2 linked regions of the Caenorhabditis elegans genome follow. The protein of the gene in region 2 interacts with the protein of the main gene of each other region in a pairwise test. Each region holds a gene or a part of one and is shown on either strand. Other genes may lie near its edges.

What was found.
Region 1: the proteins of F55A12.5 (region 2) and acds-10 interact in a two-hybrid assay, tested with the Caenorhabditis elegans proteins (one large-scale study listed by BioGRID).

What each region holds. Positions count from the first base shown.
Region 1 is NC_003283.11:5,745,804-5,752,541, reverse strand, and holds acds-10 (Acyl-CoA dehydrogenase family member 11), read right to left. Parts: upstream 4,724-6,738; 5' UTR 4,723-4,723; coding exon 4,653-4,722; intron 4,529-4,652; coding exon 4,380-4,528; intron 4,322-4,379; coding exon 4,226-4,321; intron 4,170-4,225; coding exon 3,984-4,169; intron 3,941-3,983; coding exon 3,766-3,940; intron 3,671-3,765; coding exon 3,403-3,670; intron 3,352-3,402; coding exon 3,170-3,351; intron 2,937-3,169; coding exon 1,864-2,936; intron 1,396-1,863; coding exon 856-1,395; intron 808-855; coding exon 589-807; 3' UTR 509-588; downstream 1-508. Other genes in the region: pgph-1 (Phosphoglycolate phosphatase), read left to right, coding at 1-79.
Region 2 is NC_003279.8:5,344,072-5,350,161, reverse strand, and holds F55A12.5 (Telomere_reg-2 domain-containing protein), read right to left. Parts: upstream 4,236-6,090; 5' UTR 4,235-4,235; coding exon 4,142-4,234; intron 4,097-4,141; coding exon 3,981-4,096; intron 3,935-3,980; coding exon 3,823-3,934; intron 3,740-3,822; coding exon 3,613-3,739; intron 3,563-3,612; coding exon 3,510-3,562; intron 3,452-3,509; coding exon 3,378-3,451; intron 3,334-3,377; coding exon 3,090-3,333; intron 3,032-3,089; coding exon 2,886-3,031; intron 2,844-2,885; coding exon 2,622-2,843; intron 2,573-2,621; coding exon 2,426-2,572; intron 2,123-2,425; coding exon 1,791-2,122; intron 1,744-1,790; coding exon 1,217-1,743; intron 1,147-1,216; coding exon 1,085-1,146; intron 1,040-1,084; coding exon 981-1,039; intron 938-980; coding exon 834-937; intron 791-833; coding exon 701-790; 3' UTR 505-700; downstream 1-504. Other genes in the region: nath-10 (RNA cytidine acetyltransferase), read left to right, coding at 1-239, 288-381; apm-1 (MHD domain-containing protein), read left to right, coding at 5,458-5,499, 5,839-5,995, 6,055-6,090.

The sequences.
Region 1 (6,738 bases), on a different chromosome or scaffold from region 2:
AAGAGATGATATGGTTCCTGATTATGTTGCACCATGCCTTGGAGCTCTTGTTCCGGAGTCGAATCAAATTTATTATTAATTGCATTCGTTTATAATATTTATTACGAGTAATTGTATTTTCCACATGACAGTTTCAATTGTTGAATTGCATTGAATTGTAAATATGAATAAATTTTAAGATAAATATTGAGACTTTGAGAATGATATTTTAAAAATTTACACTTGAAATACAATATACGATTAGGAAATAAAAACTGTGTATCAATTCGACAATTTCGGCAATTTTGAAAGGTCAAATTTTCTGATTTGCCGGCTAGCATGCTTGTATTTTGTTGAACAATGTAGACTTTTTGAGCTGTTACATGAAAATTGAAAAGGCGGCAAAATTTCATGCAAAATAATAGGAAAATTGGGCTGTTTTAAAGAAACTAAATATTTTCTTTTCTGGGAAAGAATAAGACATTGAAACTTTGTAAATTATTTTTGTCAATAATAAGTTTTCAAAATTGAAATTTGTTTGATTTATTCACAAGTTAAAACTACAACGACACTTTATAAAACAATTTCAATACAAATTCAAACAAAGGTTTACAATCTCGATTTCATCTCAATCTTTGCAATAGTCTCCAAGTGTACAGCATCTGGTCCATCAGCAATTCGAAGAGATCTTGCCCATACATAAAAGGAAGCCAATGGTGTAAATGGAGTAAGTCCTCGAGCTCCTTGCTGCTGCATGGCTCTGTCCAGGATGCTTATTGCCATGTTTGGAGCAACAACTTTGATCATGGCGATTTCAGATTTTGCTTCCTAAAATGAAAACATTTAAATGAAAAAAATAAATATTTCAGTTCAAACCTTTGGTCCAACTGTATCAATCATATGGGCGGCTTTCAATACTAATAATCTGGCTTGCTCAACTTCACATCTTGAAAGAGCCAATTCTTTTCGTAAACTGTCAAATTGGACCAGCTTCCTTCCAAATGCAATTCTTGTCAATAACCTATCTTTTATAACATCAATTGCCCGTTCCGCATGCCCAATAAGTCTCATTGCATGATGAATTCTTCCTGGCCCAAGTCTTCCCTGCGCGATTTCAAAACCTTTTCCCTCTCCCAAAAGCATATTCCCAACTGGTACACGAACATTTGTGAATGTGATCTCTGGATGTCCTCCTGGAGCATCCTGTGATCCAAAAACATGAGTGTTTCTGATAATTTTAACACCCTCCGTCTGCATTGGCACTAAAATCATTGATTGTTGCAAATTTCTTGAACGCTTTGCCCCAGAAACTTGTCCCATAAAAATGGCGATTCGACATTTTGGATGTGAAGCATTCGAGATGAACCATTTTCTGGCATTTATGATGTACTCATTGCCGACACGGACGATGGAACCCTGTAAAAATAAATAAAATATTTTGGAAGTTTGCTGGCATAATTTAGAATTTTTACGGTGGCAACAACATGTAGGCATCTTTAAACCTTCTTTATCAAGTTGCCAAGTTTTTTTGCAAGAAATCCACGCTGATAATTTAACATTTGGTAGCTACTTTTACATACTTCAAAAAAAGTACATCTGATTGTACATCTTGGTAACTCTTGGCAAAATCTTAGCAACTTACTGGTGGCACCTTTTGCCAGAAAGCTGACTTGAAAACCGGAGTGCGCGGTAATTGCCGTTCGGCAATCGAATTTTTGGCAATTTCGGCAATTGCTAGAATTGCTGATTGCCGAAAATTTCTAAAACCGGCAATATTGCCGAAATTGCCGATTGCCGAAAATTTCCAGAACCGGGAATTGCCGAAGTTGCCGATTGCCGGAAATTTCCGATCGCGACCCTGCTTGAAAAGCTCCAAAGCCTTACCTGGATATTTGTGGCATCACTACTCGCGACATCAGGCTCAGTCATCGCAAAGCAACTCTTAATCTCTCCGTTCAATAATGGAGTGAGCCACTTGCTCTTTTGTTCTTCACTTCCATACTTGATGAGAACTTCCATATTTCCCGTATCTGGAGCTTGACAGTTAAATACTTCTGGTGCAAAAATGCTTCTTCCCATAAGCTCACAGATGTGTGCATACTCTACGTTTGTCAGGCCTTTTCCGTATTTTTGTTCAGGATCAATGTGTTCAGAAATGAACAGGTTCCATGCACCCAATGATTTTGATTTCTCCTTCAGCTTTTCAATTTTCGGATGAGGAATTGTCCATCTGTGAGGTCCTTCTTCATAATACTCCAAGAGCTCTTGTTCCAACGGAATCACATCATTTTGTATAATTTCTCGAACGATTTCGTAATATTTTTGAGCTTTCAAAGACATTCCTGATGGAATAATTGTAAGTTGACCGTAAGATTTTGATGCATGAACTTTTGAAATCATTTGCATTCCTTCAGCAGCCAGCTTTCTAACAAGTGGTCCCAACTGAGAAGCTTCAGTTGAAGATGCATTCTTCAACTGAGATCTTTTATAAACTCCTTGAATAATGCTTGCAAATCGGAAAATAACAAACGCCATGTAGTAAGTCCATAGCTCTGGATCAACAACTTCCGTGTTTGTGTATTTTGCATAAAGTTCCAAACACTCTTTGATGGTTGGAATGCCCATTCTATGAAGATCAGATTCACTGTAATCTCCGAGCCCTGGTAGAAGTATCATTCTATTTGGAACATAGTATACAAATAAAAATGTTGCAAGATCTGAAAGCGGATCTCCAATTGTTGAGAGTTCCCAATCGAGAACTCCTTTCACTTTGATCTCATTCTCTTCGATAATCAAATTGTCCACACGGAAATCCCCATGAACTATAGTCGATTTTCCACTTTTTGGCAGATTTGCTTTTAGGTACGCTTCGAGTTTTATCATTTCTTGAATTTCTTCAGTTTTCGCCATTTGATAGGAGTCTGACCATCGTTTCAGATTACGGGCCATGTACCCATCTGAAAATATTTTGATGAAATGCTAATCAAAATGAACGTATTTTTTTAATCAAATTTTCAAAATGCACAGGTGTCAGTTTTTCAAGTCTTTTTGAAAAGTGTAAAACGAAAAATTTTCCAATTTAGATTTTTGCTTAAAAAACGAAAAATCGGAAATTTTCCTTCTTTAATTGATATTTTTGGAAAAAAAAAATCGAATTTTCTAAAAATAATATGTAATTGTTAAAATATACCTGTTCTTCCAAAGTCCTGTAATCCAACTTTTTCATAATCAACCGAATGAATTGTTGCTAACGTCTTCAGTGCTTCTTCATACACACGACGTCTTTCTGGTGGAGTCAATTCTGGAAGTGATGGTTTCAGGAATATTCTTCCTTTTTGATATTCCATAAGATAAAATGAAGTGTCAAGGGTTCTAAAAAAATAATGTATTGTAGCTTAGAATTTTAAAGTTGGCAAAACTAACGTTTCATCGTACAAAAGTGTTTTCGGGAGAGGAACAAGTCCCTGAAGAGCATTCATTATTTTGAACTCTCGATCCACTTGATGAGCTTTTGGTAGAAGACTTCCACTTGGTTTCTTTCTAAGAACATACTGAGACCCTCTTACTGTTCGGATGTAATATGTTGGGTTTGACTGTCCATGACGGAATTTGCGGATTGTTTCAACTTTGTTATCAGTCCCAGTTCTTCTGGTAATCAATTCATTGATCTTTTCAATTGGGAGAACTTCTCCTAAAATTAAATACGATGAGCAAACTATGAAAAAAGCCAAAAAGAGAGAAGCAACTAATATTTATGTTAGATATAAAGAAATAAAAATTAATTACTTGGAATGCAATCCCGTGTTTCCGGTGGGTAGGAGAAGTTCAACTTGAGAATATTTCCTAGATCATGAATTGCTTGCTGGCTGCTAACAACTTTAATTGTAGTGATTCCCATTTCTTTGGCGGATTTCAGATTTGACCCCAGATCATCGAGGAAAACACAGTCGGATGGGTGAAGCTAAACGAAAAAGTTGAAAGATTTGTAAATGTGATAATGCTACCTTGCTTCTTTCCAGCGCCAATTCATAAATTTTAGTGTCAGGTTTACGGAGACCAAGACGGCAAGACTCGAGAACATCATCAAACAAAAGTCCAACTTGCGATGGAACTGTTGGCAAAAGTCTAGCACGATCCGTATAAAAATTGTTGGTAATGAGGATGGTACGGTAGCCGGCAAGACGAAGAGACTGGAAATGAACAGATGTGTCTGGAGAACCATGTTATGCCAAAATGAAAATCAAACCTTGATAAGCTCAACCATCTCCGGGAGAAGTGGAGTGTGTTGGATTTGACTGCTAACCTCTACAAAAATTGGCAAAATGTCTCCAACTCGATTATTCTGAAAATCAAGGTTCAGGCTTAAAAAAATGCAGTTTTAGAAAAAAAAAATTGTAAACCTGAAAATTGTAAATATGAGTGAAAAGTGGATCGAGATCCTCCGAAGTCAACCGTCCGGTTTCAAAAAGTTTGAAATGTGGGTAGAAATCTTTACTGATGATTGTTTCGACCACTGAACCATCACGAAGATTGTGAGTTTTTTCGATGGCTGAAATTTCAGTGATAGAATTTTTTTCAAATTATTGTATTCTTGAACAAATATTTTGATTAACAGAACCTAGCAATAAAATGGCATATCTGAAAATTCAAATAATTTTTCCATGAAAACTTACATTTCCAATAGTGCATTGGTGCTGGGAGGATAACTCCTCCCATGTCAAAAATTACCGCTTTGATGGTCATTCTGAAAATTTTGAGTTCAGAAAAAAAAGATCTCCAATCGGGAATGTGTTGAGAAAACGTGAGTGCGGGCGATGGCAGAGAAAATGGTCAATTTGATAAGGAAAATAAGACAAGTAGGGTACGATGTAGTGTCGAATACAAATCAAAAAAGATATGGAAGGGTATAGTGTGGTGTTGAAAAATGAAAAGATTTTGATTATTGGAACAGTATTATTGTTGGTTTCGATCGAAAAACCAACTGTTCCAAAAATATTACTGATACTTTAATATTAACGAGAGTGAATCTAGATACCTCTAGCTTGACTTTTTGGCAGATCAACAAGAATTTGCGGAAACTTTTAAGCGCTTTCAGAAATTAATTACAAAATTTTTCTAGGTGCCAGAAGCTTCCAGTTCAATCAAGAAAACTTACCATCATGTATACAAATGACCGCATTTTTATTGGGTAATTTATTTAGTTTTCATAATTTCAAAAATCAATATCTGACTTAAAATTAACTTTTTTAAAAATGTTTCTTCGGGGACTTCTTTCAAATTTTAAGCGCTTTCAGAATTTAATTACAAAATTTTTCTGAAGCCAGAAGCTTCCAGTTCAATAAAAAAAACTGACCTTGAGGCATATAAACGACCGCATTTTTTATTGGGAGATTTATTTAGTTTTCATAATTTCAAAAATTAATATCTGACCTAAAATAAACTTTTTGTGTGTCTTCGGGGACTGGTATCAAATTTTAAGCGCTTTCATTATCCCCCACCAACATACAATCCCAAAATTCCTTAAAAAGACAAAAACTCAATTTTGCCCAAACTACAGTAATCCTACAGCAACCATACAGTACTTCTACAGTACTACTCAGTACCCCCAGCCGTATCTCCCCACTAACTCTGAACCAATATCTTTTCATAAGCCAAAACTTCGCAGACTAGGCATTACTCCACTTTTTTGAACACTATCCACTTATCGAAGTTCCCAAACGTGGATATTCTAAATGATGGTCATGTCTAGAAAGGACTGCTTGTGAATTGTTGATCCACAAATTTACCTAGAAAAAAATTGGAAAATATTTGTGCACGTATTTATTCCAAGAAACAAGTTTATACTCTGATGTTTGAGCAGAGCCGCCTGACGTTCAGTAACCTTCGACCCTGAAACTTTAATTCAAGCAATTGAACTGGTCATCTTCTCTGGTACACCCAAACACAAGAACTTTTTAATTTTGCTCTATTTCCTTCAACATCTTGCTTCAACTCCTGCTACAATTTATATTTAGAAGAAAAGAGAAGAGCCATTCCCAATTTCTTTCTTTTGGTGTCCGTCTTACAGCGTGGTCCGGTGATAATTAAATTTACGTTTCTCAACACACACACACACATCCATCCATCTTTTTATTCCCATTTTATATGCACCGTTTACGTCATTTGTATATATTTACAATTCGTTTTATTTATTGAAAGAAATTCCTCAATTATTTATGAATTCTTTGAATCTGACGGTCTGAGGAAAGCCCTGGAAAAAGTTCTTCATTAAGATTTTCAAACCTTAGTAGTTTTTTTTTTAAATTAATACCTTATTAGACATTTGTAAAACTTGAGAAAAAAATAGGAGTTGTTTCAATTTCTTAAAAAAGTGTCAAATTGTCCGCAAAACATTATAACTCAAGAGTGAGCTGCAAACAACAAAGTTGGAGATTGCCGTTTTTTGAAATTTTGTCCAACTTGGCAAAAACAGTTCAGTTTAGTTAGTTCAGTTAGTTTGGACCATTTTATCAAAATTTATTGTTTTCTTCCCCGAACCTTGTTCAAAATTTCCAGCGACTAGGTTCAAAAACCTTAGAACATTTCCGGAGCCAACTCGTCTATTTGACATTAAAATTGAGGAGCGTGGGCTCGAATTTCTGATTTTCGAACTCCTATAGCCCATCGGAAATTGAATATGGAATATCCGGCGACATGTGATTGCAGGAAGGGGGCAGCTCACAAATTTAATGCAACAAAAGAAACAATAATAATGTGTAA
Region 2 (6,090 bases):
AACAAGCCAACATCAAGTCTCCCGAAAGCTGTGCCACTTGCCAATTTGGAAGATGAGCTCGAGTCGGCTGCCAAAGAGATTCGTGCTCGTCACGATAGGGACAGAAAAGCACTGCTCGCTGAGCTTGGAAACGAATTGCAAAAGTATGAGATTATACAGGACGAGAAAGAGTTGGCTGAAGCTTATGAATCTGTTAATATGAAATATGCAAACAAATTGGTCAGCGTTAAGAGCAAACGGTCAGTTTTCAACACGTATTGTTCAGAAATTGAAATAAAATTTTACAGAACTGCTATCCAAGCCGCAATTCCTGATGCAAAAGATCCGGCGAATAAAAATGCCAAAAAGAAGAAGCGCTTCTCGTCTGGTGGACGCCGTTGATTTCTATATCAAGTTTTTAAAAAAAATATCCACGCGTTGTTAATTTTTCATCGTTTACCACTTTCTGTTCTTGAAATCTTTGTTGTTTTGTTATTTGTTATGTCTGTTTAGAAATTATGAAACTTTTCAAAGCACATCTTTGTCGAATTTATAGTAAGAAACGCCTGATGAATGGTAAATATTTAGTGGAGATAATTCAAACAAGAAAAGAACAGGGCATAGGAATAATAAAAACCGAATAAATAAATAAATATTCGAAATAAACTAGATAAGAATAAACGGGGAGGTATTTAAATATAATAGATCAAGAAGAGAGATTTCACTTGTACAAATAATCATTTCCTTCAGCATCCCAATCATTGGCCATTTGCTCGAGGCGACGAAGAGCAGCTTCTTGTACTTCATCACTCTGAAAATATTTTATTTATTAATTTAATTTTTGGAATAGTAACCTGACAGCCAAGGCACTTTTTCGAATCATGGTCCACTGATTTCTCTAGTTTAGAAACAGCCGATGGCATAGCTTGAAGAGGCTGATGAGTTTTCACACTTGAACCTGAAAAAAATATATAGATAAAAATTGAAATTGTACAACTCACTACTCGGAGTACAAAAGTTCTGAAGTTTATTCGAAGTGGTCTTCAGAGTTTCAGTAATTCTGAAAATTGAAACATAGTGGGCTTTATTCAAATTAAAATTTTACTTTGCCAGTTTTTGCTCAGCTTGGAGAAGGATTTCCTCGTCAGTTGCACCGTCGAATTTTATCTGTAAATTATCAAATTTTAGTTTGAAAAATGAATAAACAGCGGGAAATGATCTGAAAAATAGTACTAACCATTTCCTTTTCAAGCCCAAACTTCTTCATACGCTGATCTCTGAACATGACAGAAGTCTGCAAAATAATTTGTTCCATGAGTTCTTCCAGTTGTGTTTCAGTCAAGAAATCATCATCTTCCACTTCATTTTCCTCTTCTTCCTCATAATATTCATCCTCATCTTCATCGTCTTCATATTCCTCATATTCATCTTCCTCTTCATATTCTTCTTCTTCTGATTCCGATGATATCACGGGAATTTCTACTTTTTTCTTCTGAACATCCATTTTCGGAGTGTATTTTACAGTAACAACACTGCTTTCTCCAGATGATAAAACCGCATCATCGGTCTCAGTTTGAGCGTCTTTCATTGGAGTTGCAACTTTTGGAGCCAGTTTTTCAGGGGTTTTTTGAGCCAAAATGCTCTTCTCATGACGTTGTGCAGATTTTAAAAGTGCTGCTTCCATTTCATCATCTTCTTCATCTTCATCAGAAGAGTCGAATGATTCCTTTTTCGATGGAGTACTTATGGCGACATTTTGATGACCTAGAAATTGGATAAGTTATATTTTATTCCAAGAGTTCGCAACTTACGTTCAAAAGAGAGTTCTGAAGTTTGAACAGTTCCAGGAATATAAGATGCACGTGTTGGAGTCAAAATCACAGATTTTGTTGAAATATGAGATGAATTTAGAATCGATTCATCACGAATCAACTGTGAAACTGCTGAAGGAAGCATTGAATCACGATTATGTTTTAGTGGAGAAAAAAACATTGAATTGTCAGCAGATGATAAGTTATCAGGAGCAGTATCAAAGCTATGGAATATGTCTTCATCACGAAATGAAAAATCATTTGATGCACACAAAATATCTTCATCGTCTTCTTCTGCTTCTTCTGATGCTTCCACATTTGAATATCCTTCACTGAAAAATAAATAATAATATTCCATTTGAAGGAGTAGAGGTTTTGGATTTTTTATTTGTTAAAATCTGAAATTCCGCCAAAATTGAATTAGCACTCTTTTTTGAATATTTTCAGTCGACAGACATCCAATACTGGAAATTTTTAGATTCAATTAAAAACTGCGAAACTTCAGATTTTCGCAACTTTTGGTTTTTTTTTTCAAAACTTTGGGCCACCAAAAACATTTTTTAAAGAAATTTCATTGCAGAAAACCAACAAACTATTTTTCTTCGATCTAGATTTCCTTATTATTTCCAACTTACAGACTATTGATGATAGTTCCTATATGTTCGGATTCAGTTGTATTAATGTATTCATAGTCAAATGGCAATGGAAAGAGAGCTTTCATATCTCGACGGGTTACTGTACTTTGCTTCATGGAAGATACTGGAGCTGTTGAGTAGAACGGGCTGAAATATTAAAACGTAATTTCAGAGTAATTTCATTTTTTAATCTTACCCATAACAAAGAAGACTATTGATTTTGGTTCTATATTTTTCAGTGACAACTTGAATTGCCTCATGAACATTATCATCGTGAGCAGCTGATGGTTGAAGACAGTGCTTCCACGCTTCGAACAATACTTGAACATCTTCCGATGAGTCTGAAATTAAACGAACCGCCTCGACGAGTTGTGAAGTGCGAAGGCGTGAAAGAGCAGCGACGGTTTTTCTGGAATGCCTTCGGACCGGTGAGAATTTGAAATCAAAGAAAAGAACAAACCCAGCACAAGCATCAACAATTGCTTTCCAACAATCTTTCTGACGCTTCGTGAGAGATAATTGTGAAGCAACAACTGGAGCTGATTTCATTGTCATTCCAGATTCTGTTGTAGTTGAGGCAACTGTAGATAATGTTACGATGTAAAGCTGAAAAAATGAAAAATTATTTTGAGTTTTAGAAGAAATATTGAATTTTATCACTCACTTTGACATCCAACATTGAGCATTCTGCACTTTTCATATACTCCTGTGCATTCAAAGTTGATGGAAGATTTGAGAAAAGCGATGAAAGAAATTCACTTTTCAACATTGATTTCTGAAATAAATAAAGCCACAGAAGAAGCCTCAGCGTCTGCTCATCGCCAAGATTTGATAAACTGAATTTCGATTCTGGAGTGATTATCGCGTTGAGGTCCATTTGTTCACTTGATACAATATCACGGGCAGCTCTGAAGAATGCAAGAAAATTGCAGAATTCTTTTGAAATTCTTACTCGAAAATCGAAGATTTTACGAACTGAAATCGACCGCTAGCTAACACCAAATCATCAACGATACTGTCAATGTTCTGAAAAAAAGACAGCTTATTCACTTGAAAATTAGACGAATAAATCTGAAAATATTACAAAAGCAAGGTCGATTCTGTAGTTTGTAAACTTGGCAAGATGAATTGAGCACTCTGAAATTATTTAATAATTTATTTTAATACATTTTATTTAAAATTCTCACCAATAACAACTCGATCAGCCCACTGCTGCATATGTATCTCCTCGATTTCATGTTCAGGACTCAAATCGGGAACAATCGATGAAGCGAGAAGTTGGGATAACTTGTAGAGTGTCGGTTGGTGATTTGGCTGAAATTATGAGATTTAAACAAAGAAAACTGGTTTTTATTTATTTATTTGAAGAAGTTTGAAGTTTTTTCTTCAGTGCTAACCTTTCCGAGCACACTGAGAATGTTTGCGGCGAGTTTCAGAAAAACTGAGAGAACGAGCTTCTGTAATCCGAATGTTGACTGATCTTCGGCCCGTTCGTAGAGAGAAACCAATCTGAAAAGCAAAATAAATATAAAATTAAGGCTAATTAAAAACCCACTCGTTCAGTGAATTTTGATATTGAGCCGTTGTTGGTGGATGCGATCGCAAAACTGATGAAATCTGATCATGCTCTTTTTGAAGACTTCGGAAAATTGTGGATGGAGAGAGAGTATTCTGAAAATAAAGTTAATTTTTTATTTATGTGGGCATATTAAATACCTTATCACCGAAGGATTCATTGAAACTGTCATTCGCCTTTTTGAGTGAAGCGGGAGACGAGAAAAGTGCCGAAAACGAATCGTTCAGCACCATTCTGTAATTTTTCTAAACAGTTTGAATATTTTGATTAGAAAATTCAAAAAAGAGCACAAAGAGATAATTTTTGTTTTAATTGATCAAATAAATTCACTTAGATTTTAATTTTTTAGAACTCGCAGCAGAAAAAAACTCAATTATATGTGCTATAATTACAGGTTCTCACAATTCCTTGTTTCCCTCTCAATCCGGATAATCCGCTCAGCTTCTAGCCTAGCAACCGGGACCTTCTCTTCGTTGCTACGAAAATGCTGTATCACATTCCTTCTTTTTGGATAATTACAAAGCTTCTACCCTTAGAATTTAGTGAAGTGTGAAAGTGCATAAAATCGAAAAATTATTTTTTTAATGAACTATTTCCTTTTTTTAGAGATATTCTGCTAATATGCAATTACTCAATCAATAAATATTCTGATCACGATGGCAAATCATCATGAGAGAGAGATTCTCTACATTGAAGAGAGTACGATATTTAAAGAGAATCATGAAGCATAAGGAAAAACGAAGAGACTCAGATAGTGAATAGTTTTGCGGACACCTATAGACGGTGCGCCTCTTTCGGTGACTGCATACAATACAATATTTGTTCTCTCTTTCTATTCCATTCTCCATCTCTTCCCGCACACCTTTCTTTTCCATTTTCAATCCATTCCCAATTTTTCTCTCCACTATCAGTTCGTTTCTCTGCTTCACTAGAAAGCCCTCTCACATCTCGACAGTCTATTACGGCTTCCACGTTTTGCCAGATGTTTTAGATTTAAGGGGCATCAAGATGACGCGTCATTATCTGATCTAAAACTTTATAAAAGTCTGAATAAACGATTTTTCTAATAATTTATACAATGACACGTATATTAAGAAACTTCCCTTTCAGTAACATATTTCAAAATACTTTCCTCCCGACTTTAATTTTTTAGGCTGTTTTTAAACTTGATCAACTCTATTAATAACACAGTGACATGAATTTTATATTTAAAATCCGAAAATATATCTTAATTACATGTTTTCAACTCTGCAACTTTTCGAATAGCAAACGAGACAAACAAATTTCCAAAATGTTTCGCCGTGAAAACTATTTCGAGTAATTTTAAAGTTCACGCGCTCACTATTCCACACATTCTCGACGTATTGTTTCAGATTTCCACGTTTACCGCTTTTAAAACATATATTAAAACATTTTGGAACAATTTTAAATTACAGGATTACCCAGAGAAATCGACATGTCGATTTCCGGTCTCTTCATCTTGGACCTCAAAGGAAATGTGAGTTTCACAATGATTTTTTGATAGGCAGGCGAGTTAAATATATGAATTTAGCACAGAAATAACTGTTTAGAACAAAATGAATGTTGTAAAAAAATAAAAATTCAGTAAATTTGAAGGAAAACCAACGAAAAATGAAAAAATCGAACGGAAATTTCCGGCGAAGCACTTCGTTTTTCAAAAAGTTCACTGTCGTAGTATTCTGTGCATCTGCACATTCGGCGCTTCGTTGTACGCGCAAACTTTTTTAGACAAGCACAGAAATACTGAAAAGCAGTCAAATATCAATCAAATTGAATGGAACCTCAAAACAAAACATCCTAAAAATTATTTTTAAAGGTAGTAATATCGAGGAATTACCGCGGAGATGTGGATATGTCGTGTATCGAAAAGTTTATGCCACTGTTGGTTGAAAAGGAAGACGAAGGAAGTGCATCTCCAGTATTAGTGCATCAAGGAATTAGTTATACATATATTAAATATATGAATGTTTACTGTAAGTTTCAACTTTTGAAAAAATAATCCTACACAAAGATTAAAATAAAAGATTTTCAGTGGTGACGATTTCGAAGAAAAACACGAATGTGATTC